Cricetulus griseus: one gene and its partners. Each later gene encodes a partner of the first gene's protein in a complex. Links are inferred from orthologs where the notes say so. Each region holds a gene or a part of one and is shown on either strand. Other genes may lie near its edges. The genes, in order: Smarca4, Smarcd2, Smarcd3, Arid2, Smarcb1, Dpf3 and zinc finger protein neuro-d4.

Region 1 (4,131 bases):
TCATTATGTAACCCTGGCTGGCTTGAAACATTGTGGAAAAAGTTGACCACAATCTCACAGATTGGCCTGCTGAGATGAAGGGCAAATGCCACCAAGCCCCATTCTGAAATAAATCTTTTTTTTAAAAAAAGATTTTATTTATTAATTATGTATACAGTATTCTGCCTGCATGTATGCCCGGAGGTCAGAAAAGGGCACCAGATCCCATAATAGATGGTTGCGAGCCACCATGTTGTTGGTGGGAATTGAATTTAAGACCTCTGGAAGATCAGTCAGTGCTCTTAACCTCTGAGCCTTATCTCCAGCACCAAATAAATGTTTATTATTATTATTTTTAGAGACAGGGTTTCTCTGTGGCTTTGGCGGCTGTCCTGGAACTAGCTCTTGTAGACCAGGCTGGAACTACGGATCTTGAACTCACAGAGATCCTCCTGCCTCTGCCTCCCGAGTGCTGGGATTAAAGGTGTGGGCTATCATGACTGACAACCACCAATATTTTTCAAACTCAACCAGAGGCTTGGAATGTCTACACTTGCACCAGGATAGAGACCCTCGTTCCCTCATTTCTAGGCTAATGGCGTTCTTAAAAACTTTAAAGAAAATTTTGACTGTGGCTGTCTGTACCTCACACCCGGCGCGTTTCACTTTATTCATCCTGCTCTCCACAGATGCTGAACCAGAGGGCCGCGAGGAGCCGATGGCAACTCAGTAAATATTTGGAAAGCTACTTAATGGGCCTCAGCAAGTTCTGCAGGAAATGTGGCCAGGGCAGAGCCCTGCAGAGCAGGCAGGGCCGCGCCAGCGCCAGGATCAAAGACTTTCCCAGGCCTGCCCCTGGCCCCGCGCGCGCTCTGTCCCGTCCTGGGGCGGTGTGTGACGGTTCCTAGGCTCTACTTTCCATCCTGGGTGCTCATTTCCGAGCCTAAGGGCTTCGCTTTCATCGTTACTCTCTCCCCTCAGGACCACAGAGAGTCCCTTCCCCCAACCTCGAAGCGTCGCCGCAGTGCCTGCCCGTCTGCGCATGCTCCGCGGGTTGAGGCCCAGTTGCGTGCCTGGGACTCAGGTGTGCGCAATCGCGGAGACGCCCAGCGCTCCACAGGGGCGGTGCTTCAGGGCCTCATGCCGCCTCTGGGCCCGCCCACCTCCTCGCTACCTCAAAGGGCCGGTGCGCGTGCGCACAGCGAGCCCCTGCGCATGCGTACGGAGAGCGGAAGGGCGGGCTGGCGCGTGCACGAGGCCGGGCAGGCAGCGGAAGCGGGAGTCGTGGACTGGGTCGGGAGGGAGGGAGGCGGGCGGGCGGGCGCGCGCGTGGCGGGCGCGCGTGCTGCGTGAGTGTGAGTGTGGGGGGGGCGCCCTGCCGAGGCTGAGCGGGCGGGCGCGCGCGCAAGGCATTCCCCTCGCTTGGCAGCGGCGGCGACGGCTTCTTTGTTTCCTGAGGAGAAGCGAGACGCCCACTCTGTCCCCGACCCCTCGTGGAGGGTTGGGGGCGGCGCCAGGGAAGCTACGGTGCCGGTACCTCCGGGTAAGGAACGGAGACTCCCGGGTGGAGACGAGGCGCCCGGGGCTTGGGGAAGACGGTTTGAATGAAGCCGAGGCGCCGGGAGGGGGAGGGGGACAGCCCGGCGACCCGAGCGGGGTCGGGGTACGGCGGCGCCCGAGGGTCAAGAAAGCCCTGCGCGCGGCTCAGACCGCAGTGCAGCGAGACCGCGGCCGCTTGCAGGCTCCGTGGCCGCCGAGGCGGGTGGCCATGGGCCTCGTGGAGGCCGCGCGCGCGTTCTCGTGAGATCTCGGGACAAAGCTCCCTCCCTTCGGCGTTCCAGAGATCCGTATTCCCCCCCACACACACTTTAATTTCTGTGATCCCAACTTTGAACAATAGCTGGGTGTCGTGGGCCTTTCTGGGTGCGACCCTAATGCCCTGTGGTCGGGCGGCGGGAACAATATTTTACCTCCAGTATTGATGTCCAGTGTGACTTGGACGCAGTCATCCCCCCTCTTCGGTATCAAGGCGTCACTCTTTTTGTTGTTGTTGATAAATTTTATTACTGCTCATCTTGAAGGAAAAGTAAGAATTCCTTACATTCCTTGCAGGTAGTGACTTTGAAACGTTTACCTAAAAAGTGAAAGATGGCAGGGAACCTTTGCTCACAGCGGCATTGTTTTTTTCTCTCGAGTCCCTTGGCCCTTCCCAGTTTCCCAGATAGGGCTTTTTATTGTAAAACATCGGAGGCATCGGTTTGGTTCCCTCCCCATTTCCAGGGACTCCAGGTGCTTCTTGGGAATTGGAAACAAGTTTAGTTCGAATTGACAGATGGATTTGAGTTTGATGCCCACTTCAGGCTGTCAGCTAGCTGTGTGGCCTTAGGCAAAGTCGCTTAATCTTTCCGAACGCCTTGGTTTCCTCCTTTGTACAAGGGAACTACGAATTTCATAGATAGGGCTGGGAGACACTGGGCATCATCATCATCATTATTGTGATTTTGGAGACAGGATCCCATAACCAAGGTTGACTTCCAACTGCTTATGTAGCCCAGGCTCGCCTTGAATTCCTCATATTCCAGCCTCCACCCCACAAGTGCTGGGATAAGAGGTGTTCAGCCAGGCTTCCTGGGCTGTTGTTGACTGGTCCAGCAGATAGTTGAATCCCTACTGTGTGTCACATGTCTTGTAGGGGAATGGACTGTAAATGTTGGCAAGGCTCCTTGGCCTGTAAGTATATTAATTCATTTAAAGGGGCTTATTTTGTTTTGACTTTTTTTTTTTTTTTTCTTTTTCGAGGCGGGGTTTCTCTGTGTAACAGCTCTGGGTGTCCTGGAACTCATTCAGTAGACCAAGCTGGCCTCGAACTCACAAAGATCCATCCGCCTGAGCCTGACGAGTGCTGGAATTAAAGGCCTGTGCCACCACCTGTGAATTTTTTTTTAATTAAAGGTTTTCATTATTTATTAGTGTGTGAAGGTCAGAGGACAACTTGTCTGTTCTCCCCTCCCGCCTTGTGGATTCCTGGAATTGAGCTCAGGTCGACAGTTTTAGGGCAGGTGTCTTTCTTTTTTCCTTCCTTCCTTCCTTCCTTCCTTCCTTCCTTCCTTCCTTCCTTCCTTCCCCTTTCTTCTTCCCTCCCTCTCTTTCTTTCTTTTCCTGAGACAGGGTTTCTCTGTGTAGCTTTGGAGGTTGTCCTGGAACTCACTCTGTAGACCAGGCTGGTCCTGAACTCAGAGATCCACCTGTCTCTGCCTCCCAAGTGCTGGGATTAAAGGTTTGTGGCACCACCACTTGGCCAGCAGGTGCCTTTTTTTACTTGCTGAGCCATTTCTCCTCTTAAGCCTCTAAGTGTGTTTGATTTTTGTGGTATTGGGGCTCAAACTTGACCCTGTACGTGCTAGGCAAGTGTTATACACTGAGCCACCAACCCAGCTAGCATTATTTTCCTTCCTTCCTTCCTTCCTTCCTTCCTTCCTTCCTTCCTTCCTTCATTTCTTTCTTCCCATCTATGTTTGATGAATATGTGTCTTCAGTTTTTTTTGCAAGCCTTATTTTATGAATGTGGGTTTTTTGTTTGTTTTCTCTCCTTTTTTGTTAGTTTTGGGTGTTGTTGGGCTTGGAGCCCTGGGTTTTGTGCATGTTAAACATGAGCTATATTCCCAATCCTTTGGCCTTCCATTTAACCCTTACAACCTGCTCTGTGGAAGGACAAAATGGTTGTACAAGGCAGCAGTGGTGGGCATAAGTCCTGGGAGAGTGCATGGAGAAGGTACCTTTTTTTCAAAATAAGGGAGGATGTGTCCCTCTACACACCCATGTGCTGAGGATGGATCAGTGCCATCACCACTATTGCTCTGTCTTTTCTATAACATGGCAAGTTGGAAGCAGACAGTAGTGGGAGGAGAGGAGAGTTCATCCCTTGGGAGGGATGAACTTTGATGTGAGGTGATTGGTAACAAAATCCAAAGCAATAATCATTTGTTGCTGCTGTTGGGCTTTGAACTTTTCAGGCCGTTGCTTTCCTAGCCCCAAATGTCACTACTTCAAAAGTGATGAAAAAGTCGCTGATGAAGTCTGGGGTCCTGGTTTGGTGGTTTGTTTGTGGTGGGTGAAGAGTGTTACTTCTTTTTTTGAACTTAAAATGTTTTT
Region 2 (4,076 bases), on another chromosome or scaffold:
AGTCCAGGGCTTAATGCATGCTTGGCAAGTGCACTCTAAACCTGAGCTACATCCCCCAACCCAAATCTGAGGATTTTTCAGTGCTCATTAAAGTTAAGCAGCACCGATTCTGTACTGTGGGGAGGAGATCCCACATTAGCTGAGGGTAGGCGGTCCATTCCGTAGCCGAAACCAGTGGTTTCTGGAAAGGCCAGGAACTCTTCAAAACTAAGTCCTCTATGAACTGGAGAAAACTTGCTTCACTGCCTGGAGTTTTCTCGGCATGCAAAACTCCTTCACCTAAACTCACTTTCTGTGGGCCGACGGTGGCGGTGCGCGCCTGTGATTCGGCATTTGGTAGGCAGGGGCAGGGAGACTGCGGCGCGTCACAGCCAGTCTGGTCTACAAGGGGAGTTGCACAGCCTGGGCTGTCACTCAAGACGCTTGTCTCGGAAAACAAACAAAACAAAACCTCCGCACCGGGCCAAGTCAAACTTTTACCCAGCGGGGTCACGTCTGGAGTCACGCATGTCCCTGGCGGTTTCTTGGGGTGTGTGTGGGGCGGGGTGCTGGCGACGGCAGACAGCGCCCTATCCCACCGGCTCCCACCCTCGGGCGCCGGCGAGGGCTCTGGGTGAGCGGCGGCCGTCGCCTGGCTTTAGGGCTGACCCGGAAGGACAGTTTTGGAGGCGTGCCCCCCCCCGGCACCTCGCGGAGGGAGCCGCACTTGAGGAGCGAGCGGCCAGCACCTAACCGCGGAGGACCTAGGACGGTGACCTTTGAGCTCTGACCCCGCGCCTTTCCCAGCGCTTCCGCGTGCAGCTTCCGCTCCGGCTCCTCCGGGAAGAGGCGGTCCCAAAGGGCGGGGCTCTGTGGCCGTCAGTTATGGGCGGTGCCTGCTTGAGGCGGGTCTCGCGAGGGGCGGGATTTGAAGAGATAGTCTCGATTGGGCTGCTGGGAAGGGGCGGGGCCGGGCGCAGGCCCGGGTTGGGCGGGGCCGGGAGCGCGTAACCGCCTCTGGGTAACTGGACTCGGGCGGCGAAACCTCCGGGGGCCGGGAGAGGCCGGCGGGCTTGCGGCACATCCCGGATCTGGAGTCTCCCCGGCAGGAGCGGAGTCAGTGGGGCCGCGGGTCCTAAAGCGGGTCGGTCTGTGAAGAACTTGCGAACTTGGAATAGAAAACCCCGGAACCCGGCAGTAAAATCGCGAAGTCCCGGATCGCGGAACGCAGCTCGCGGAGCGGACTCCACACAGAGCCCGGAGGCCGGATCGCTGCACCGCGGGACGGGACAGAGCGATGTCGGGCCGTGGCGCGGGCGGGTTCCCGTTGCCCCCGCTAAGCCCCGGCGGCGGCGCCGTTGCCGCGGCACTGGGTGCACCTCCTCCGCCTGCGGGACCCGGCATGCTGCCCAACCCGGCGCTCAGAGGCCCGGGGCCTTCTGGAGGCATGGGGGTCCCGGCGGCCGCCGCCTTCCGCCCCATGGGCCCCGCGGGCCCCGCGGCGCAGTACCAGGTGAGGCGGGCGGGCGGGCGGGCGGGCGCCGCCGCGAGGGCGCCTGCTGGGTCTCCCCGGGGCCGCAGGTGAGGGCGGGCAGGAGTCGTCCCTGGACGGGCGGCTCCGGGGACGCTGCAGGAGGAACTGCCGCGAGCTGGTGGCGCGCCAGGCCGGGGTCCCTCGGCTAGAGAGAGAGGGGCAGGCAGGGTCGGGGAAAGGGTGAGCGCGGCTCTCCGGTGGAGCGCTCGAGCAGTTACAAGAGTCCCGGGGCTCCGCGGCTCACGGCTTCTGAGTAACTGAGAGATGTAGGCTCCGTGGGATCTGGAGAATTGTGTGCAATCGGGTTGAAAGAGTCTAAAGCAGGTCCCGGAGTCGGGGTCCGGGGGTGACCCGAGACGTGAGAAAATTTTGGAAGAGAAAACAGGGTTATCCTTTCGTTGGCCTCGGTCCCACTGCAACTCTGCCTTGGCTTTTTTTTTTTCCCTAGTTGGGAACTGGCAGAGCGTTAGTGTCTGAGATGGCTCCCAGCTGCTAGTTGAGGGGGAAGGAAGCCTGGCTTCCTACGCCATGGGGGGGACTAAGGAGAGGGGGCCCAGATGGCTCCAGGTTAGATTAGTGGCAGCGGCGGCCAGGTCTGAAGAAGGCCCAGTCCCAGTAACAGACTAGTCCAGATACGGTCTAGCATGGGCTTTCCATTTAGTGCCAGCGTCCAGTAGTTACGTTTGGAGGAGCAGAGAGGCTTTGTGGAATACTGCTAGGCGGGGGCTGCAGGAGTCTGCAGCAGCATCGGCTGCTTCAGAGGGCACTGCCCTGAGCCTTCTAGCTGGAAAAAGAGCAGTCAGTCTCAGGTTGCAGCTTCAAAGGCCCGTTGAGGAACGGGGGTGCGACTCTGTGGTCAGTGCATTGTGAACTCAGCCTGACCCGGCATGTGGGGCTCCTTCCCCAATGCTCTGGTGCAAGTTGCTCCAGGATGTTTTGAGGATTTTATGTTTTACTTAATGCAGTTTGGTGCTGAGCATGGAACCCAGGCAAGGCTTTGCACATGGCAGACAATTGCTATATCAGAGAGCTGCACCCCATTTCCCAGAGTGCCTGGGGATTGTGTTCATCCTTTCCCAGTATCCTTGCCCCTTTTTTTTTTTTTTTTTTTTTGATACAGGGTCTCATGTAGCCCAGGCTGGCTGTGTAGCCAAAAAAGCTGGCCTTGAACTCCTCCTGCCTCTCACGTGCTGGGATTACAGCCATGCACCACCACACCCAACCTCTTTGCTTTTACTTGTTCTCCGGGTTCTTGACAAGACCATAGGTATCTCAGCCTGTGAGCCACAGCTTCCTTGTTACTAATGTCTGAAGGTGTGCACTATAGTTTGCTCTGTCCTCTGCTGGTGTCTGTAGGTAGAGTAGAGGCCTCAGAAATAGATCCTCATGGAGTGCATATTCTACCAGGAATCAGATTTCTAAGGAGGTACCTAACTGGGAGTGGGGGTGGGGATAGTGACCCCCCCCAACTCTTCATTTCTCCTCTCTCAAAAGAAAATGAAGAATTTGGCTATGAACAGAGATAGACTTGGTCCCAAGGATACTAGTTGGGGTTTATCTTTCCCATGTTGCTTTCTTTGGAGATTCATGGGCCTAGTGTATCACTGATGTCAGTGATTTTAGTAGCCTTTGGCCCTGTTTGCTTGGAACTGATCTGGAAGCTTCCTATAGGCACTGAGGAGATCTGTCTCTTTGCTTTTTTTTTTTTTGTCTGACTTTCTGTGTAGTCCTGGCTGCCCCAACTCACTATGTAGACCAGTTTCTTTGGCATGCAGCTGATAGAAAATCTGCTCTTGGGAAAGCCCCTGTGAGGATAGGAAGATGGATTCCTCCATATTTTGTAAAGAGTAGCGCCTTGGGGTCTATGTTGAGGCCAAGCTGGCCAGCTGAATACCTGTGGCTACTAGGTGTGAGAAAGAAGATGGCCTTAAGTCTGGACATCCCATACCAACCAGGTTGACATCACCACCTTCTTCTTTCTCATTTCTTCCCCTCCTCTTCTTTCTCTGGGGAAGGGCAGAGGAAAAGGTGGGGTAAAGAGAATCCAGTTAACACTGGTTGACTTTGAAGGAGAAACTGCTTGCTTCTTTTCATGTCCAGGTACCTAACTTCAAAAGGGCTTGGGGTCTGAAGACAAAGGGGCTCCTCCTGGTTAGAGCCCTTGGGGGTGAGCGAGGATTTGCATGCTCAAGCTGGGCATATTGGGGAGCTTGTTGAAACAAAAGTAATGGCCCAGCTACCTACCTCTAGAGGGTTATTCTATCTAGTCTTGGAGTACAGTCAGCTGAAGGGCTTAACACCATAATTAAAAACAAAACAAAGAGACCTACTGTGCATTATTGCTGAGTTCACTCAGCTCAGAGTTTAGAATACTTTCTGTTCATAGGGTCAGGGTATGTTCTCCAAATGAGGCTCTTAGGCCCAGGCAGCCATCTGAGGACCAGAGCTACAGGCTTTAGGTCAGAGCAGAACATGCTTACTTGAGCCCTAGATTCCTACCCAGAGATGGCAGAGTCAGGCCTAGCCTTCTCCATTGTCTCCTTGGTGGTTACAGAATCAAGTC
Region 3 (4,259 bases), on another chromosome or scaffold:
TGGGAGTGATTGTGGGAGGGGCGGGGGCGCGGGAATCTGCGTGGCTCTGGAGGAGGGGGCTCGCCGGCTCCTTGCAGGAAGCTAACTGAAGCCAGGCAATTGCCCAGGGCATAGCCGAGCCTCGGAGCCGTGCAAGGTACCGCAAAAATGAATATTAATGGCGCCTTTCAACCTTTCAAAGGATGTTCACATCGGCAGGCACGGTCTTCTGCAAGCCAGCCAGAGCCGGTCTTTTTTATCCCCAATTGACAGATGGGGCAACTGGGGCTCAAAGAGAAAAAGCGACCTCGCCAAGGTCACCCCGTTCATCCCGACAAAGGCAGCACCTTGACGGGCCTTGCTCCCCGCTGCTTTCCTGCTTTCTACAGCCCACTTCTGGGGCTTTGTATGTGAGCCCCCATCTCCCTTTCAGCACCCCTGGTTTGGACCCTTGGTGTTCAAATAACCCCTTCAGCTGACTCCAGGTCTCTGACTTAGTCTGCCTCCTTAATTTCATTTCTCCCAAGGTGATACAAGAGGCTGGGCAAAGGCACCCGAGGGTCTGAGCTTTTCCGAGTGGCAAGTGGGGAACTGGACTAGAAGTGGGCTGCCAGAGGGCAGGGATGGTTGAAGGAAGCCACATCTCCCTCCCATCTGCCTACATCAGAGAGAGAACCCAGTACCCACCCCATCCTAGTAAGGGTACAAATTGGAGGGAAATGAGGCAGGTTGTATTTCCCCAGCCACCACCTCTGGGCAGTCAATCAAAACAGAAGAGGTGTAAACGCAAGCGGGGTGTTCCAGAGTCCACTTGTCCAGGCCTGGAAAGGGAGTTGAGGTTTAGGGGCTAACCAGGAACAAGGAGGTGATGTGGGGGTGCAGACCCTACTATTTACACACCCTCATCTCAGGCTAGGGATGTAGCTTGGTGTAGTGCTTGCCCAATACATGTGAAGCCCAGGGTTCGATTCCCAGCACCAAAGAAACTGCACTTGTAATCCCAATCTCAAGGTGGGGACAGAAAGAGCAAGACCATCTTCCCTTATATAGTGAGTTCGAGGCCTAGGCTACAGGAGACCCTGCCTCAATACACAATAAACAAATACAAAATACTCCTCATCTCACCCCAGAACCAAGAAACCCCGACTGCTCAGACCAAAGGTCTCCACCCTCTACCACCCTCTACCAGCAGCTGTCCCTGGCCATCTCTTCTGTAGTGTAACCGGCCAGTTCCTGAGTTTGCCTCCCCCATTCCACCTGACTCTGTCACTCATACCACCAGTGCCACCAGGGTGGAAGGCCAGGCCTAGTCATTCCCCACTACTAATAAGGGGGCCTTGATCACTCAAGGACTGACCCTCCAAGTTGGCCATATTCAAATCCACATGGGCAGCCTCCTCTTCACTGAATGGGACTCTGTAAAGCAACTCCCCCAGGCAGCTAGGTTAGGACTGGTAACTCCACTAACCCACAGGACTGCCTTGGGAACTGCACCCCAGAGATCCCTGTGGCTAGAGGGCAGGCTGCCACAGGGAAGCCCTCCTCCCTATCAGCTGCCCTGCTACTCATCAAGGCCACCCACACTGTCTGGTTTACTGAGAGGAAGGGGCTTCCAGGGGCTCTGCCACCAGCACCACAATCACAAGAGGTCAAGGTTTTGGGGGCCCTTGCCTCTTTCACTGAGGAGGTGCTTCTTGGAGTCACAACCAAATTTGGCCATAGTAAATTTGACTGATTTTTCCCTCTATCACATATCCCCAAGCCTGGAGCGCCTTACAGCCAGGCTCTCCACTGACTCAACCCAGTCATCTCCCTCCTCAGGTCCCTGGAACCCTCAGGTCCCTCGTGTGCCTTCACATGTCTGTGGCAGGACACTATAGTGTTAACCCTTTGATCTCTAGGCCTCATGTCCCCAACTCCATCCCTTCACACCTTTGAGGTATTAAGGTCATCAACTTCTGGTGGCTGAGCCTGCCAAGGGATCCCCTGACCCCTTTAACTTGGGGTCCATCTCTTAAGTAGGCCTCTCTTAGCTCTGACAGCAGGGCCAAGTCCTCAGGACCCTCCTGCTAGGCTGCAGAGGTTGCTCAGCCAGGGAGCTTTTGCTCTCAGGTGCCTCCAGGGTCACCTGCTCCTAGTTCCTCAGACCCAGTCAGAGTGACACTGCCCCTGTGGATGAACAGGACAACAGGCAGCCCAACCCTAGTTGTGTGTTCCAGTCGCCACCCCACCCCCACCCCAGGGCAGGGGTAACACCTGGGCCCACCAGTAAAAAAGAACGGGCGACGTGTCAGCTACAGAGGGGACCCACCTCTTGGGGGGCACGGTGCCCACATCCCACCCCTTGCCCCTGACAAGAGCCCAAGCCGACGCCTCTCTTCCCTGCCGCCGCGCGCCCATCCCCAGCCGACCGCTTGGCGACGTGTTCGGATGCCAGGGCGCCGGCAAGGTCCCAGGGTTGGGCCGTGACCGTGCGCCCCCCAACCAAAGGGGTGGGAGAGCGGGAGCGCGCCGGCGGCCCTTCCCGATCATCCCTCCATTCAGCCCGAGCCAGCTCGCTCGCCCTCCCCCGCTAACTTTCCCCCACTCACCACCCCATGGACCAGAAACTCAAAAAGTTTGCTTTTCGTGGCTTTGCGCGCCCCTCCGGCAACTTCGTCCGCGGCCATCGGGGTGGGCTCAGCGGCTCCTCTCACTCTCTCTCTCTTCCTCTTTCTTTCCCTTTTCTGCCTTTTTTTCCTCCAACTCTCCCCTCTGAGTCCTGCTGGGCTCTCTCACACTTCTACTCGAGCGGAGTGGGGAGGGGGCCCCTTCAGGGCTGCCCTGACGGCCCACGGCCCAAGCCGCCGCCGCCCGCCCGCCGCCGCCGCCCGCCGCCGCCGCCGCGGCTGCCGCATTCCTGCACTGATAAGACAGAAATAGTCCGGCGGCCCGGGGTCTGCCTGCGACGCGCGGGGACACAGCAGCCCTCCCGTGCACCCGCGTGGTCCAAACGGCGCAGAGACGCGGCGAGCCAGGCCGGTCCGCCCAGCGGCTGCGAGGCGGGCAGCGAGCGCCCAGGCCGCCGGAGGCTCGCCGGTGGCGGCACGGGGAGGGACAGTCTAGGGAGGGGACGGGGGGGGGCTTGCCCGCCACCCTGCCTTCTTTCTCCACAAACAGTTTCTCGGTTGGGGAATTCGCCGGCAGGGCCAGGCAGAGAACGGGCAGTTCCAACTTTCTTCCCCCAAGTGGCTCCTGCAGCATTTCTGAGGCCCTTTCCCCAGGGACCGGGCAGGCCAAGTAGGGAAACATTTGCTGGAAGGAATCCGGGGGCGGGGGGGCGGGCGAGCCGGGAGCGGGCCTTGCAGCCGTCCAGGGCCGGCCGCCGTGGGTGTGCCCGTGCCTCGCGCTCCGCGTGTCTGCACCCTTTTGTGGCTCGGCGCAGCGGCCGAGGGTGTGGATGTTTATGTGCGGGCACCGGTGTGCTCCCTCCACGGGAGCCGCCGTGCCTGCGCGTGCGAGCGTGCGAGCGTGCGTGCGCGCGGGGCAGGACACGGCCTGTGCCTTCCAGCTCGGAGGGAGGCTATTTCTGGGCTCGTGAGTCTTTGTTTGCCTCTGTGTGGGAAAGTGAGGGCAACCGGGGAAAGTCTTTCCGAAAAGGGGACATGGACTGGGCTCCTGAGCACAGGAAGAGTGAGTGTGGGGAATCGTGCCGAGCCGGGATGCGTACTTGGGTGGGTAAGGAGGAAAGAGTGAGCAAACAAGGTTTGGTGGCTCTGGCATGGAGACCCAGGGGGGCTGGGGGGCTGAGGTCCGCTCCAGGACCGAAGAGAAAGCAGGAGTGTGGAGTGGGAGAGGATGAGGGAGCCCCGGAAAGGACCGTAGGGAGAGAACTGGCCGACCCCCGAGTGGAGGGAGAACAGAAAGGAGATCCCTAGGCTGAGCTCAGGCCCCGCCCATGCCAGAAGCCACGCCTGTTCCCACCTTCTGGAGGAGGAGCCCGCAGGCTTTGGGACAACTAAGGGTCACACTTATGGGCTTCCTGGGACGGCAGCTGTCAGAACTAGGATGAGGGAGGGACAAGGCCTGAGGGAATTTGTGGGAACACATTAAAATTTGAGCCCTCAGGACCCAGCATTGCACGGAGGGGGCCTAACCTTTGGCCCTGCAGAATGTCTTCATTGGCCAGGACAAGCAACAGAGGGAATGTTCTCCCAGGAGTCTTTTGGGCCAGCACCTTAGTTTCCTGCAGGTCCTGCTAGTGTGCCTAGCTGTCATTGCCCTTTCAGGCGCCCACTGTC
Region 4 (4,039 bases), on another chromosome or scaffold:
GATCTGTGAACTCTTCAGCGTCAAGTCTGAAGTCAATCTAAGGCAGCCAATAGGAAGTACACCTGTGCAATTACCCTGTTTCCTATGTCAGAATCCTGAGCGCTATACAGAGTAACTAGTGCATTTGGAGCAATACAAGACTCAAATTATACAGAAGCTACATTTTACAAAAATGAAATAAAGGCTATCTTATGATATCACCATTACCAATACTTATTAGAAGGAACTATTGAGATCATTATTTTAATTTTAAATTACTAAGAACACTGGGTAATCAAATACAAATACCGACTCCAAAACAAAGTACAATATGAAAGGATCTATAAAAGGAAATCTAGGAGGAAAAAAAAATCCTAAAAGTCACAAAATACATTATCTAGACTAAAGCATATACCAACTCAGTAAGAAGTTTACTTTTTTGAGTAAGCAGTCAAAATGCAAGGGAAAATGGAAGAAAATCCCAACCATAGTACCTGGCTTCACACCACCCCCATTTTCCTAAAGATGCTGAATATTTTCAAATTTCTCAGAAATTCAGTAACAAGAGTCCAAAAAAGTAACCCTGGTCAACCAATGTATCTACATTGTATTATTTATGTAAAAATATTCCATTGAAAACGCACTGAATAACAGTTCCAATACTTTTCCTTTAAAAAAAGAAATTCCGAAAACCAGAATTGTAGAGGGTTAAGGAGTTTCCAAAGAAGAAAAAGAAGAAAGACAAATCTTCCCACAGGTTACAAAGTTTCATTAAGTATCTTAAGACTTTTACTAAGCATCATCTTTTCTGGCCCTCAGTGACTATCAAGCAGTCAATAACAATGTCACAAAAGAATGTTTACAAGACAGGACATGGGTTGTCACCTGTAATGACTTTGTATGGAAAATGTAAATGGCCGTGTTTTAAGGTGAGGAAAACTTCAGCCTCCTATCATCTCCCTTTTTTGACAGTCAATGCTTCTCAGACTGAAATTACCAAGGGGTTGGAAATTGTTTAGAGCATAAATTTTGTTGTTGTTTAATCGCCCTTAAGTCCCTCATTTCCAAATACTGTGGAAAAGTCACCACTACTCACCGCAAGTAATACTGTTTTAAAGCAAAGGCAGCGTTAGAACAACTTCTGGGAAAGTTGAACTCTTCAACAATTTCTCCCCACTGATTCTTCTCAGAAACCTGTTAAAAACACAGGCACACTTGTCTGAAAGTGCCCAATCCAAGAAAAACCTACCCTAACTTGGGAGCTAAATTCCCATTCTGCAGAGATCTGCAGATACCTAAGGTATCAGTGGGTGTCTGGGGTCTGTCCACAAGAGTTACTAAGCCAGGGCCGCCTGAATCACTAGGTTTTCATCAGAGAGACCTGCATTTAGCAGCACTTGTTTTGTTTGGGGGGGAGAGGATTGGTGGGTTTGTTTTGTTTTTGAAGCCCGGACAATAACCAATCGCAAGTCCCTCTGTCGCCCCCTTTTAAATCTCAACGCGGTCCGTTTACACTAAAGAAGAAGAAAAAAAAAGTTCAAAAGGATCAATACTGCTCCGGACAGCGACGTCCGCGAGCTCTGGGGGGGCCGGGGCCGGGGCCCGACTCCGATCCCTCTCCCAGATCTCTCCATCTCCATAGGCCCTTCTTTGAGGCCTACAGCTTCTGCCTAGCCTTGAAGCCTAAGATGGCTATTTGCAGACAGGTCCTGCTTTCTTTTGTTAGCTGTGGAAAGCCAGGGCGAGCGGGCCGAGCCTGTGCCCCCGGCCGCCGGGATCATTTCGCAGCCGATTATCGATGTTAAACCTGCCCGCGCTAATTTTGAGTTGCACGAAAACTGCTCAGAGTCTGTGTGTCTCTGTGTCTCCGCCTGTGCTAGAGCGGCAGCGGCGGCGGCGGCGGCGGCGCGGCGGCGGCGCTGACTCGCAGGCGGCGAGCGAGCGGGCAAGCGGGCGCGGGCGGGCGCGGGGTTCGGCGGGCGGGCACCCTGCTCGCCCGCGCTCCCCCGCCGCGCCGCTCAGACCCCGCGGGGGCCGGCCGGACACCGGGCCGGGGGCGCTTTCCCGGCCGCCGGGCCGCCGGGCCGCCCGCCCAGCCCGCCCAGCCCCGCGCCCCGCCGCGCGCACGCGAGCGAGCGAGCGAGCCACCAGGCCGAAAAACAGCCCCTGCCGCCGCCGGGCCGCCTCCGTGCCACCGCCGGCTGCGAGCGCCGAGAACGCCGTGTGCCCCGCCGGTCGCCCCCCCCCTCCCCGGCCCCCGGGGCGCCCGCTCCCGGGCCGGAGCAGACTTTTCGGAGCAGGCCAGCGAGAGGGAAATACAAATTAAAACTTCCACTCACCTTCGCGAATCCGCCTAAAGTAGTGACTCTGGTGTAGAGCCCGTGAAGATCCAGCTCCTTCCCACCCACCGCAGGGATCTTCTTAAACGGCGACCTGCGGGCGACAGAAAGCCCCGCACTTGTCACCGGGACCCCCCGCGCCCGCCGCGGGGCCCCGTTCGCCCCGGCTCGCCCCGGCGCTCGCCCCCCCGGGTCCTGCTCTCACCCTCTGCTGTGGTGGAACTGCCGCAGCTCGTCCAGGAAAGCCAGTCCCTTCCTCCGCTCGTCCGGAGGCGCCTTCCCCGTCGAGTTTGCCATTATTTTGCCAAAAGGAAGGGCTTCCGAAAAGCCAGATCGCGCTTCAGACGCGGCCCCCGCTCCCCGCGCTCCCTACCAGCGCCCGGAGCCCATTCCTCGGCCGCCGGTGGCGGGGCTCAGTCATGGGCCGGCGGTGGCGGCGGCGGCGCGGCGGCGGCGGCGGCGGCGGCGGCGCAGGGAGGGAGGAGGAGGGGGAGGAGGCGAGAGGAGGGAAGGAGGGAGCGGGAGGCCAGGGGGAGCGCAGGGCCGGAGGGAGGGGAATTTCTAAAAAAGTTTAAAGAAACGGGAGCGAAACTAGAGGGGCAAGGCGACGGGCGCCGGCCGGGCGCGGAGCCGCGGGGCGAGCGCCCCCCCTGCCTCGCCGCCCCCGCGGCCCGGCTCTGGCCGCCTCTCAGCGCCGCCGGCCCTGGCGGCTCGGCCCGGGACGCGATTCAACATGGTGCTGCGGCCGGGGGGCGCACGAGGCGCCGGGGCCGGGCGAGCGGAGGCGAGGGGCCCGGGTGGCCGCAGGCCTGGGAGTTTCGGCGGCGGCGGCGGCGCGCGGCGGCGGGCGGCGGCAGCGCGGGGGCCGGGGCAGGCGGGGCCGCGTGGGAGGGGGAGGTCTGTGTGGTGGCTTGTGGAGAGCGGGGTGACAGCGTGGATCCGGCGCGCGGCTCCGCGGGGCCTCGCACACATTCACGCGCGCGGCGGCGGAGACGGCGGTGGCCACGGCGGCCCGGCGTCCCCCGGCACAGGCTCCGGCGGCAGCCGAGCCGCTGCGCGCCGCCGCGCCGGCCTGCCTGCCTGGCCGCCAGTCTCGCTCTCAGCCGCCGCCGCCACGGCCGGGCCGCTCGCACGACAGCGCCGCACAGCGCCCCCCGAGGGCCGGCCGCGGCACTGCGCCTGGCTCCACACGGTCGCGGCTGCTCCTCGCGGGGAACAATAGACTCCGGCTCGCCCGGCTTAGGGTTCATCTGCAATGTGCAGCACATTTCACACGCACACAAAGCGGGCGGAAAGGGGGGCGGGGGCGGCGCGGGGAAACGGCCACTACCGGTTCTTCCAGGGTGAGGGGTGGAGGCGATGTGCGCGTCCCCGGCGGCCGGGGCTGTGGCAGAGCGGCCTCCGTGTCCCCCCGCCGGGCCTCCCGCCGCACCGAGGGCCAGCGGCTCGCCCCGGCGCAGCCCTCGCCTCCCGGGGAAAGTCCTCTCGCAGCCTCTGCAAATGTTTAGGGCGGGAGGGATCGGCCTCTCGGCTTTATGCTACCAGACTGGGGCCCGAGGAGCACATTTTCCACGGTGTGACCAAAAAACTCATTTTGACAAACTGTGGAGCACACACGGTGTGAATTGTCTGCCCTACTTTTGTGGAGATGAGAGTAAGGCTCTGAATTCGTCTCGCCCCTCGGTCGGTTTCGTGCACCGAACCGGAGTTGATGCCAACAG
Region 5 (3,500 bases), on another chromosome or scaffold:
CACCGTGTCCCCTGGTTGTCCCCACTGTGTGACACTGCAGACATCATTTCTGAAGTCAGTGAGGCCATGGATCTTTATAAAAATCATAGGACTAGCTTTTCATGAAGGGTGTCCTTAAGTGTTGCTACAAGCAAACTAAGCTATTACTCGGGGGAAGTAGTGATTTCTAAGATAGTCCAGGGATTACTAATATAGGGCTTTTTAGACTTGAGAAAATTCTTTTGGTGTCTCTGGTTTGAGTTTTGTTACTAAATAAAGCAACACAGGCAGCGGGACAAATTATCTTGCATCTGTCTAAAATTAAAGACATTTTGGTGTTTATTGCCTTGTAAAAATATCAAAGTCTGCTTCTTAAGATGAAAGGAGGTCACAGGAGTCTCAGATTTCAGAAAAGTGCCAAGAAATCTTTCGTCCTGATCGACATCACAAGCTCCTTACTGAGGTCTGGGATCCTCCCCAATAGACATCTGGTCAGATCTTTTGGAACTTGGTTCTGATGTCAGGATACACAGATTCCAGCCAGATGTGCACTGCTGTTGAACCCTTGATGTCAGCAAAATGTGTTTTATGGCTGCTGACAGGCTGGCGTCTGGAGGCCTTGTATCTCATGTACTTGATCCAGCAAATCCTCTCTGCCAGAGCCCTTCGGCATAGTGATCGATGGTCTGACCCTCATAATGAGCCTTCTTGCTTTACTCATAGGTGGGAAACTACCTCCGTATGTTCCGAGGTTCTCTGTACAAGAGATATCCCTCACTCTGGAGGCGACTAGCCACTGTGGAAGAGAGGAAGAAAATAGTTGCATCGTCACATGGTAAAAAAACAAAACCTAACACTAAGGGTGCGTCTTCACGAGGGTTTGTAAACCTGTTTCAAAACCACTCGCTTATGTCATGAAGATAAAACGTTTTCACTCCAGTGTCTTCATTGCAGCCTGACCTTAGTTCGGTAGGGAGCATCCCAGGGGCAGGCCACCCTGCCAGCGCACACATGGTTCAGTTGAGAGTAGCTCAGCGAGTCTTTGGTGCTCCACTGTTGTGTGTTCCTGGCTGGGCCAGTGGGTATGTGAGGGGCCAGGGCCAGGGCCAGGGTAGTAGCAGGTGCTGTGAAGACATGTTGGTCTCAAAACGTTTTAGGAATGCTGTGATTTGCTACCATTTGCTGTGAGTGTGTTGCCGTAGTCGTCCTTCTTGCAGCCCTAGTAGCAGACGGTGGCCCCAGCCCTCACTTTCTTCTGGGGCTTTCACCGCTTCCCTCCCAGAGCACATTTATCTCATAATACTTCATCTTGGCAACCAGTATGCTAAGCTCATGTGCATGTACCCATTCCACGTGGCCTGCCCTGTGCCTGGGGCTTGCTAGGTGAGCCACCTGGTGCTAGTGAAACTAGTGCAAGGTCTGGGCTGTGGCAACTCTGTGCAGAGTGAAGATGCTCTTCATACATTTTGGGGCCTCTAGGAAGAACATTTGGGTATGGGCGCAACATGCCATTTGGCCGGTGGCAAAACTGCTTTCCACTCAGCAGAGGCACCCTGTAGAGAGCTGCCCTGGGCCTGGGTGCATGTGTCCGTGCATGCATGCGTGCTCATGAGCACTCTGTAGTCTGTCTTGTCAGTAGGTGCTAATGTGCTAATGTAGTTGTCTGTTGTGGTGTATTGGGGTTCTTTTAATGCAGGAGCCAGAGCTGCTTTTTATCCACTTCTGAAAGAATCCACTATTGCCTGAAACAGTTTCCTTTGTGTCCCCTCTGCCAAAAGTGGAATATAGTCACTAGCATGGTGGCTACCTAGCTTTGCCTGCCCTTCCTTGAGTTCCCATGAAGCCTTAGTGGTCTTGCTACCATGTGCCTTCCTTTCCTATAACCAAGTGAGTCCTCCAGCAAAGCTAAGCAGGTCCTGCAGATAAGTAGCAGCGCTTGACAGAGGTTCCCTAGAACTGGGCGGGGAGGGGGGGGGAGGCATATCACGTGGTGTGAAGTTCTGTCTTGTTTTCCAGACAACCACATCTGGCCTGACTCAGGGATGGTAACTTTTGCTTGGTGTGAAATAGTTCTTTCCAACTCTCTGGGCTCTTGTTTTAAAAGAAGAGGATTCATCTTTCATTCTGTCTCCCATCTTGCTTTGTGTTTTAGATTGTGGTGGTGTCAGACCTCTTCCCACTGGGGTGTTACTCTGAAGCCTTCCTGGCAGCCCCTAAGCTGCAGCTACCCCCAAACATGTCTGCCCCAGAGCTAGTGCTCTTAAGAGGCAAATTCGTCCAAATCCATCCCACCAGAGGCTTTCTCCACTGAGATGTCTAGGTAAAGCCTCAGTCCGGATTGCCCTTTTGGAAGAGGCTAGCACTCAGCAGTACTGAGTTTGACACCTTGCTTTCCCCACCTCCTGCATGTGAGGACCTCGTGTGCTGTATCAAGTTGGTTGTCAGCTTGTTCACACTGCTGCAGGATGACCACAGTGGGGTTTCTCTGCTTACAGATCATGGGTACACCACCCTCGCCACCAGCGTGACGCTACTGAAAGCCTCGGAGGTAGAAGAGATTCTGGATGGCAACGATGAGAAATACAAGGCTGTGTCCATCAGCACAGAGCCCCCCACCTACCTCAGGTATGCCTTCCTAATCTCAGTTTGCTCCAGAGACATGTGGGGGTATGTGTGTGTGGGGGTCTCATCCTGAAGAACAGGGTAAAGTGAAAGTTGCTCACTCACTATGTTTATAATTGCCTGACCTTGGTTTCTAAGTTTCTTCTGTATCTTTGACATTCTTAACAAACATAGGCCAAGTCTTGAGTTCTGGAATGTTCTGAATCTGGGACTCATTTGCCCCCCCCCAAAAAAAATTGTGACTCAGATAAACTTCCAAAAGAAACAATAGATTTGAATACACACAGGTAGAACTTTGAAAAAACCTTTTCCTTCTTTCTTTTTTGAGACAGTTCTCATGTGGCCCAGGCTGGTCTTAAAATTTGCGGTGTAGCTAAGTATGGTGTTAAAGTTAGAATCCTCCTGCCTCTACCTCCTCGATGCTTTGATTACAAGTGTGTGCCATCATGCCTAATTATAATAGTGCTGGGGATGGTACCCAGGACTTTGTGCACACGAGCAGCGCTCTACCAACTGAACCATCTCCTCCTCAGGTCCAAACAGGTGTTTTTGGTTTTCTTTTCTTTTTTTTTTTTTTTTTTTTTTGATCAGGGTTTTTCTGTGGCCCTGGCTGTCCTAGAACTCACTCTGTAGAGCAGGCTGGCCTTGAACTCACTGGTGCTAGGATTGAAGGTGTGCATCATCACCACCCAGTCAAGACAGGGTTTCTCTATGTAGCCCTGGCTGTCCTGGAGCTCACTCTGTAGACCTTCCTGGCCTCGAGCTCAGATGTCTGCCTGCCTCTGCCGCTGGAGTTGTCTTTTAAAAATAACTTTTAAAAGTTGTATTATTGTAGGCTGGAGAGATTGCACGTGTGTGACATGCCATGCGTGTGGAGGTCAGGGGACAGCTTTGTAGAA
Region 6 (3,931 bases), on another chromosome or scaffold:
CGCCATCCATTTGGCCGTATTAAACAGCTATGGGTCGGTAGCCAGGCTTCTACATGCTAACGACGCCTCTAAGTGCTTTCGCTCACTCTGAGCCTCCCTCCCTGTTCTCCGTGGAAGCCTGAGTTCGCAGAAGTCTCTCAGTTTCTTCAAGTGTTCGCCAGATTCTGAGCAGCAACAGACTCGGGAAGCCTCGAGTCACGTCGCAACATTGGCTTGAGAATTCTTTTTGCGTCCTATATTAGTCCAGAAAGGTGACGCCGGTATCCGCAGCGCCGTTCCCCGAGGGAACTCCAGCAACACCCACCTCAGGCTCTAACAATTTTGCTTCCTTAGCTGCGTTTGCTAAAGTTGCCTCAAATCTTCCCTATCCTTTTGCCAAAAGAGCGCCAGGTCTCCCTTTGCTCTCCAGCTGGCCCGTGTCAGATCATTGTGAATCGCTGACAGCGGAGAACGGTGTGGTCGTAGGGGACAGCGCAGAGTGACCACCCCTGAATTACGTAACAAAAAACCGTAGCAGCAGCAGAGGGCGAGCCTGACGCTGAGACATTCCAGGGGGAAGGGAGTTGCTGTCCTGGACTAGCCAGTTCCCAGAAACCGACAGGGGAAGGTGGCTGAGATAAAGAAAACACTTCGGGGACAAGAATATTCAACAGCCTCAGAACCTACAGCATTATTAACAATCGGTGAAACACGAGTAGCAATTTCTTGCAGGGAATTGCAGCCTTCCAACTTTTGCACTGAAATACGGGAGGTGTACCCGGAGCGGGGGTGGGGTGGGGAGGTAAAGACGGTGATATATGAAGTCCAAAGCTAATGAATGGGATTTAATGGTTTTGATGGCCCTATGTAAATATTCCTGCTCAGGAGCGCAAACTCTCTGCAGTTATTTAGTAAAGTAGGGGCTCAAACTAAGAGAGAATTCTCTCCCATGTGTGTCCACTAGCCCCAATCAGCAAGGGCGCTACTAACACTGTACTGCCCCTTTAAGACCTGCTCGCTCTCGGGCTCTACAAAAGGGAGTGACCTCTGGGCTTTGACAGCTCCCCTAATAACTACCACCACGTAGGCCCCGCCTACCTGGCGACCAGCCGCGGCGATTGGCCTGCAGGCCGGTATCCCGTGCTCTGATTGGCCTGCCGCTTCCCCTGAGCGAACCTTTAGAACTCTGAGACAGACAATATTCTGTTACATTGTAGCAAAATGGCGACTGTCATTCACAACCCCCTGAAAGCGTAAGTAAGACTAAAAAATGTACATATTCCGCGTGGTTTCAATATGAAAAAAAGGCGCCTTGCGGAGCGCAGCCGGCGCCCGGCTCTTGCAGACGCCTCCCGCTGCGCCCGGGCTCCTCTTTTCTTCTGCTCTTACTTCTTCATCTTTTTTTTTTTTTTTTCCTCCCAGCGCGCAGAAATGTCAGGAGATGCAATTAACAAAAAGAAAATTGTTACATCTGTGTTCTGCTTAATTGACTGACCCGGACCGGGAGGGAGCCCGGAGCGGCGGCGGCGGCTCCGGAGCTGCGGGGGTCTAGAGCAGCTCGGGCTGCACGGTCCCCGGAGTCCTCTGCCTCTCCCGGCACCTCGCGGGGCTGGCCGAGCCCGGTCGGAGCGCGGGGCAGGGGCCGCGTCGTGCGCTCCGCTGAGCCCTGAGCTTCAAGCCCGAGGCTTCCCAGCTCCGCGGCTCGTCGGTCCGCCCGGGCGGGCTGATCAACCGCTGCAGCTGCGGAGTTTGCTGGGCGTTCGCTCTGCCTTCCGAGCTCTCGCAGGGAGTTTGTGCAAACCTTCCGGAGTTGGGAGGACAGCGCGCGGAGCGGCGGGTCTCGGGAGTCCTGGGGCCCAGGTGCTAGCCCCGGGCTTTTCCACTCGAGCAGCCGGGGGATCAGGGAGGCGCTCCGGGCGGTCACCGGTGTGTCTGCGTATTTGTGGGCGAACTGGCGGTAGTAAATTAACGACCTGGATTAACTTGGGGGTTGATGTGGAGGCAGGGAAGCTGCAGGTCTTATGAATGGTGTGTTTGCCTGCTTTGGGTGAAAAGCCGAGGTAGGCGGAGGCGGTTCGGGGCTCTGGCGACAACGAGGGGCAGGTGCCTCCGGGAGACTTTGAGCGGACAGAGGGGGGCGGGCTGCGCGAGGATTCGCGGGGGCCGGTCCCCGGTCGGAGCTGCCTGCCTGCCTGCCTGCCTTCCTTCCTTCCTTCCTTCCTTCCTTCCTTCCTTCCTTCCTTCCTTCCTCCCTCCTTCCTCCCTTCCCTTCCTTCCTTCCCTTCCTTCCCTTTCTTCCTTCCCTTCCCTCCAGTCGGTGAACTGTGAATGTGAAGCCGCCAAGTCCGCGAGCGATCGTGGAGCCGCGGGTGGCCTCGGAAAACTAGTGTGGCTCTCAAGGGGCGCTATTGGCAGGGATGTTGGCAGAGGGTGGATCCCTGGGAATTGCTGCGCGGTGTGGGCTCCGGTCGGTGCCGGTTGTACTAGGACTTCCCCGCCCGGTGAAAGCCTCTGGGAGTAGGAGGGTGCGCGTGGGTGTTTCGTGCCAATTCTTCCCAATTTGTGGCGGTGGTCGACCCTGGCTCTTTTAACTGCCTGCTACAGCGTCCTAACCCGTGGAGTCAAAAACACGGTTCGCTTTGGAGAGCAGCAAGGCAGTGCGGGGGGGATTCCTAGTGCCAAGAAACGCCTAGGGAGAACCCGCTGCGTTTGCACCAGCTAGCAACCAGGAATAGGGCAGGGATGTCCCAGATCTCGGAGTTTCCACGAGATAATGCGGTAAAGAAGACACTGGAGGCTGAGCCTGATGCGAGTTCCTGGCTCCAGTTCTCGCTCGGAAGCTCAGCTACTTTGCACTCGCGACAGCATTTCACCTAAGAGAGAAAATGTTTTATGGCAGAATAAATGGGCGTAACTTCGCCGCGTCCTCGCCGACTCGCGCCGCCACACCGCTGATGCCAGGAGTTTCTCCAGAACCCACACAGCTGATTTGCAATTTCCTCATTTCCAGCCGAAATCACGTAGTCGAGCTGATGCTGCTTGGTAAACTGAAGTCTGAGAGTTCTATTTACTATGTGTATGGGGTTCCTTATTGGGAAAGCGGTCTCCTTGATGCCCGGGAGCGGGCTTACGCTCGGGCGCGCGCAGGAGCTCCACGCTCCAGGGTTCCCCAGATCGTTTCACTTTTTTTTTTTTTTTTTTTTTGACATAGAAGCCTGCGAGTGTAGGGGTAATGGGGGAAGGGACAGAGCAGCAAGAAGGTGGCCAATCTCGGTAGTGAAATTAGTTCTGAATTACACGTGTACTCCTTAATAATTGGAAACACCGTGGGATGCATTTGTAACTCCGTCTTGGCACACACACGTACACGGGAGCTCACACACATCACCACTGCCTGCCTTTCCTAGGAAGGAGTCAAGCCGTCACTTTGTAATTATCCGCCCCCTTTTGCATCCCATCCTCTCCCCCAACCCCTAGGGCTAAGGGTGTAAACAATAACCCCAACGGCCAAGGGTTTTGCAGCCTGGATATTTTAAAAACTCCGCACGCAGGAGCACACGCGTCGTTACTGGGAGACCGACGTCATCTGCTTCTATTATTATTATTATTATTTTTAAAAACTTGTTTAATAAAACATCTTGTATATTTCATTTGTTTTTAGAAGTTGCTGTTCAGGAAACAAAACACACGTGAATAAATTATGCATGGGCTAAATTAGAACAAAGCGCAGCGACACAGCAAGCCGAAGGGATGGATGGGGGCGCAGGGAGGAGGAGCAATGAGAATGGTTTGGAGAGCTTATGTGTTTATCCTTGTGTGCCCCTCCTGACAATGAACCGGAGCTCCAAACCGCATTAGCATTTTCTCCGTGTGCGTGCAGTCTCTCTCGTCTTAAAAAGGCAACACCACGGACGCCCCCTACAGAAACTGGTCACACAAAGATTTCCTCTTG
Region 7 (4,193 bases), on another chromosome or scaffold:
TGAATCAGATGCCCTACCTACGCTGGGGAAGGGGTGGGTCAAGGTCTTGAATGACTTGGGGACATTTGTGGCAGGGAGTTAAGATTGGGGGTGTGTGTAGTTCAGGAAATCTTGAGTCTTAGCCCGGTGGGTGGAACACCCCCTGCTGGACAACGGGGTATTTGTATTAACACTTGATATGCTAATTTATGCAGCCACTCAAATCAGAGTGCTAAGTTATTCCCCAGAGGGTGTGTGTGTGTGTGTGTGTGTGTGTGTGTGTGTGAGAGAGAGAGAGAGAGAGAGAGAGAGAGAGAGAGAGAGAGAGAGAGAGAGAGAGGGAGAGAGAGAGACTCGGTAGGTCAGCTCTTCGCTGGGGTTCTGTTAGGAGGATAGGGTGTGTGGATGCCGAGGGAGAAGAGTGGAAGGGACCAGGTGAATGAATCTTTCGTCTTTCAGTGCTACCTTCAGACAGCAGTCAGGGGCAGAGAACAGGTAAGGTTTCTCCTCCAGATCTCAAAGTCCTCGTCTGGAAAATAAGGACAGTAATAGTTTAGTCTGGGGAGAGCTGTGTTAAGCAAATGTTAAGTAACCACTCAACGTATATTTGTTGGACACCTACTAGGGCGGGCAGGCATTATTCTTTCTAGAGCGGCGTAACCACTTTATGCCTTGGTACGTGTCAGATCCTCTTTGTAGATGTCTTCTCTGTGGAATAAATGGATTTATTAGTACTTGCCAGGTACTATTTCTTCATGTGGGACTGCGATTGAACCCATGGGCTCTCGATCACTTTCTTTTACCAGAACCACCCCCAAGCCCTGCTATGTATCTTTGAAAACACTTTACAGCGACTGGTGTGGTTTCACACACCTCAGGGAGGCAGAGGCAGGAGAACTATAGTTTGAGGCCAGCTTGAGCTGGACAGTAGGATTCTGTCACGAAAGCAGCCACTTACCCTGTCACTCATCTACTCTTCAGTCCGATGAGGTGTTATAACTATTTTCTAAAGGAGGAGACAGGCCCAGAAAGGTTAAGTCATGTGCCCGAGGTCCTATCAGCGAGGATCTGAGCCCGGGAAGGATGACGACAGTCCTGTAGTCCTGCGGAGGAGTGGACCCGGGTGACCGACCGCGACAGTCAGCCCTGGGACACGATGGGTGCTCCAGAGTTTGGAGGGCATGGTGGGAGAGGTGGCGTCAACTCCGGCATGCTGGTGACACGGCTGGGTGGGCACTGGCGAGGTCTGGGCGCCTGTGGCGGGGCGTGAGTGAAGGTGGGGTGTGTGAGAGCCTGCGAGCCGAGCGTGGCTGTGTGTAAGCGGCCACGTGCGCGTGTGTGCGTGCATGCGTCTGTGCACGTGGGACCGGGGACTGCGTGATCCTCCATCCCCCGGTGCCCCGGGTTAGAGGACCCGCGGGGGGACTACCACTCCCGGCATGGCCCGGGCGCCCCGCCCCGCCGTCCTGATTGGCTGAGATCCGCGTGCTCCCGCCCCCCGGGAATGAATGGATGGGCGGCCTCAGCGCCCGCCCGACCGCTGGGAGGACCGACCCGGCAGGGACCTGCTGGGGGCAGGACCCGGGGAGCAAGATGGCCACGGTCATCCCCGGCCCCCTGAGGTGGTGCGGGCGGGCGAGCGGGCGAGCGGGGCGAGTGGGAGGCGGGGGCGGGTCTGCGCGGCCGCGCGCGCGCGCGTGTGCGTGTCTCTGTGTGTGTGTGTGTGTGTGTGTGTGTGTGTGTGTGTGTGTGTGTGTGTGTGGCCGCTGGGGGTGGGGCCGGTGGGGTGTCAGGGGGCTGTCACCGTGTGCGAGCGAGCGAGCGGGGGTGCGAGCGTGTGTGACTGCGGGTGTCTGGCAAGGGTGATGTCCGGGGCGGGTGCAGGGCGTGGGGGAGGGGTCCCCCAGGGCTTCCAGGGGACGGGGGTCATGTCCCCTCCCGGGGATGCCACGGTCTGCAAGAGGGGGAAGCGGCGTAGGGAACCTGAGTACACGCGAGTCGAGCCCACGCTACCTTTGTCTTGGGGCGTGGAGTGTGTTGTGCGACTTGTGCGTTGCTTTTTTGTTTTGTTTTCTGGCCGGATGTGTGGGTATGTGCGTATGGTTGTCTCTTTTATTCTGCACGGTGCCCATCTGGGCATTCGGGTCCCCTCCGAGTGTGTGCGCGCGCGTCTGCTGAGGCTGCACCCTCGAGGCTGCGTCTTTGCACGGGGAGGTGTGAGGCTGGGTGCGAGCACGGGCGGACCTGGCTGTCCCTCCGTCTCCGAGGCGTGTACCTGTGCTTGGGAATGCGCTTCGAGTTTGGGGTCGCGTTTCCCCCCGGGTGTGAGCGTGCGCGCGTGTGACTGCGTGGTCTCTTTGTATCGTGTGTTTGACACCCCGTGTCTTTGGAGAGAGGTGTGTGGGCAAGCCGCTTTGGACACCGTGCGACTGTTGCGACGTTTGCGCGTAGTACGTTGCCACGCCGGGGGGCTTTGTGGACAATGTGTTTATCTTGGGGGTCTCTGGATGCGTGGCGTGCAGAGGTAGTTTTATGGCCTGTTTCTGACCCCAGTCTGTGTGTCTGTGTGTCTGTGTGTGTGTGAATGTGTTTGCTTCTCCTTTGTGAATTTTGGGATATGTTTCCCTTTGTGTGTGAATCCCGTGTGGCCATGTGCGATTTGTTTGTTTTGGGTGTTTGGCTACGTTCGTGTGTGCATGGGTCCCGCTGCTGCTGCTGCTGCTGCTGCTGCGTTTCGCTCTGTGAACACACTTCTTACTTAACCTGAGACATAATCAAGTTCCAGGTAGCGGCCTCCCAGCCAGCCAGCCAGCCAGCCAGCACCCCGCCCCGCCCCCGGGTCCCCAGGGATGGGAGGAGGAGGAGGGGGAGGGGGCCCTGGCTGGTTCGCCCTTTGCGGACCGGCGGCGGCGGGAACGGGAGGCCCGGGGCGTGGGGGGGGGGGTGGTGGTGGAGGGTGCTGGACCTCCCTGGCTGACAGCCGCTCGCCCGCTGCTCGCCCGCCCCCCTCAGCCTCGGCGAGGACTTCTACCGGGAGGCCATCGAGCACTGCCGCAGCTACAACGCGCGCCTGTGCGCCGAGCGCAGCCTGCGCCTGCCCTTTCTCGACTCGCAGACCGGCGTGGCCCAGAACAACTGCTACATCTGGATGGAGAAGACCCACCGCGGGCCTGGTACCCGCCGCGAGGCTGGGGCGGGGCGGGGCCTGCGTCCCGGGGCCGCACGCTCACTGCCGCCCTCCCTCCCTCTCCCTCCATCCCTCCCTCTCCTCCAGGTCTGGCCCCAGGACAGATCTACACTTACCCCGCCCGCTGTTGGAGGAAGAAACGGAGACTCAACATCCTGGAGGACCCCAGGCTGCGGCCCTGCGAGTACAAGATCGGTGGGTGGAGCTGTGGCCCCTGCGCCCGCTGTGGCCCCCATCGAAGTCCTCAGCCCCACTGCTGTCAGCCAGAATGTAGCCTTTATTTCCCCTGGGTGTCTCCACAACAGGCTATCTGTGTCGTCGTCGTCCCCCCCCTCCCCGTGTCTTGAGTTACTTCCTTTGAGTTTCTGAGCTTCCAGATGTACCTGCTGTGTGGGCCGTGGCGAGCAGGTGTACGGAGGACATCCTTTTATCTGTGTCTAGATAGATAACTGTGTGCGCTCCCCTGTGAGCCGGGGTACGCCCATGTCCCGCTGTGTTTCTTTCTGTGGGTGCTGGAGGGCATCTGGCTATCTCCCTGTGTGTTTGGATGACTTAGTAGTGTTTCTCAACCTGTGTTTTGGGGTTGCGTATCCGGTATCCTGTATACCAGGCATTTACATTACGATTCATAAGGGTAGCAAAATTAAAGTTATGAAGTAGCCACGAAATAATTTTGTGGTTGGGGGGTCATTACAACATGAGGAACTGTATTAAAGGGTCACAGCGTTGGGAAAGTTGAGAACCACTGAGTTGAGTGTCTCATTGTAACTGTTGCTGAGTGTTTTAGAATGCCTGTTTCTTTCTAGGTGTTTCCAAGTGTGTGTGTGTGTGTGTGTGTGTGTGTGTGTGTGTGTGTGTGCTGGGACTGTGTATATCTACCTCTTCTGGGGGTATATATGGTTCCACCAGAATGTCCTGCTGGGGTCCTGATGCTGAGAAATTGCTATGGAGATTTTCGGCTTGTTTCTGTGTTAGGTGCTTCTTGAGGTGTGTGCTAGTTCATAGACTGACTGGAGTTAGTGCTTTC

The links.
Region 2: Smarca4 (region 1) and Smarcd2 share a complex: the UniProt entries of both Homo sapiens proteins name them as parts of the BAF complex. The link is inferred for Cricetulus griseus from reciprocal best matches to the Homo sapiens genes SMARCA4 and SMARCD2.
Region 3: Smarca4 (region 1) and Smarcd3 share a complex: the UniProt entries of both Homo sapiens proteins name them as parts of the BAF complex. The link is inferred for Cricetulus griseus from reciprocal best matches to the Homo sapiens genes SMARCA4 and SMARCD3.
Region 4: Smarca4 (region 1) and Arid2 share a complex: the UniProt entries of both Homo sapiens proteins name them as parts of the SWI/SNF-B (PBAF) chromatin remodeling complex. The link is inferred for Cricetulus griseus from reciprocal best matches to the Homo sapiens genes SMARCA4 and ARID2.
Region 5: Smarca4 (region 1) and Smarcb1 share a complex: the UniProt entries of both Homo sapiens proteins name them as parts of the BAF complex. The link is inferred for Cricetulus griseus from reciprocal best matches to the Homo sapiens genes SMARCA4 and SMARCB1.
Region 6: Smarca4 (region 1) and Dpf3 share a complex: the UniProt entries of both Homo sapiens proteins name them as parts of the BAF complex. The link is inferred for Cricetulus griseus from reciprocal best matches to the Homo sapiens genes SMARCA4 and DPF3.
Region 7: Smarca4 (region 1) and zinc finger protein neuro-d4 share a complex: the UniProt entries of both Homo sapiens proteins name them as parts of the neuron-specific chromatin remodeling complex. The link is inferred for Cricetulus griseus from reciprocal best matches to the Homo sapiens genes SMARCA4 and DPF1.

The regions. Positions count from the first base shown.
Region 1 is NC_048597.1:134,494,216-134,498,346, forward strand, and holds the start of Smarca4 (transcription activator BRG1), read left to right. Parts: upstream 1-1,331; 5' UTR 1,332-1,522; intron 1,523-4,131. UniProt on the Homo sapiens protein: ATPase involved in transcriptional activation and repression of select genes by chromatin remodeling (alteration of DNA-nucleosome topology).
Region 2 is NC_048600.1:119,219,188-119,223,263, reverse strand, and holds the start of Smarcd2 (SWI/SNF-related matrix-associated actin-dependent regulator of chromatin subfamily D member 2), read left to right. Parts: upstream 1-1,276; coding exon 1,277-1,492; intron 1,493-4,076. UniProt on the Homo sapiens protein: Involved in transcriptional activation and repression of select genes by chromatin remodeling (alteration of DNA-nucleosome topology).
Region 3 is NC_048601.1:97,911,644-97,915,902, reverse strand, and holds the start of Smarcd3 (SWI/SNF-related matrix-associated actin-dependent regulator of chromatin subfamily D member 3), read right to left. Parts: upstream 2,801-4,259; 5' UTR 2,649-2,800; coding exon 2,571-2,648; intron 1-2,570. UniProt on the Homo sapiens protein: Involved in transcriptional activation and repression of select genes by chromatin remodeling (alteration of DNA-nucleosome topology).
Region 4 is NC_048595.1:392,709,361-392,713,399, reverse strand, and holds the start of Arid2 (AT-rich interactive domain-containing protein 2), read right to left. Parts: upstream 2,801-4,039; 5' UTR 2,616-2,800; coding exon 2,524-2,615; intron 2,413-2,523; coding exon 2,319-2,412; intron 1,174-2,318; coding exon 1,076-1,173; intron 1-1,075. UniProt on the Homo sapiens protein: Involved in transcriptional activation and repression of select genes by chromatin remodeling (alteration of DNA-nucleosome topology). Required for the stability of the SWI/SNF chromatin remodeling complex SWI/SNF-B (PBAF).
Region 5 is NW_023276806.1:262,704,482-262,707,981, forward strand, and holds part of Smarcb1 (SWI/SNF-related matrix-associated actin-dependent regulator of chromatin subfamily B member 1), read left to right. Parts: intron 1-702; coding exon 703-841; intron 842-2,474; coding exon 2,475-2,604; intron 2,605-3,500.
Region 6 is NC_048598.1:120,235,777-120,239,707, forward strand, and holds the start of Dpf3 (zinc finger protein DPF3), read left to right. Parts: upstream 1-1,131; 5' UTR 1,132-1,200; coding exon 1,201-1,232; intron 1,233-3,931. UniProt on the Homo sapiens protein: Belongs to the neuron-specific chromatin remodeling complex (nBAF complex).
Region 7 is NC_048602.1:6,521,092-6,525,284, reverse strand, and holds the start of zinc finger protein neuro-d4, read left to right. Parts: upstream 1-1,393; 5' UTR 1,394-1,491; coding exon 1,492-1,604; intron 1,605-1,903; exon of another isoform or gene 1,904-2,764; intron 2,765-2,991; coding exon 2,992-3,152; intron 3,153-3,253; coding exon 3,254-3,361; intron 3,362-4,193. UniProt on the Homo sapiens protein: May have an important role in developing neurons by participating in regulation of cell survival, possibly as a neurospecific transcription factor. Belongs to the neuron-specific chromatin remodeling complex (nBAF complex).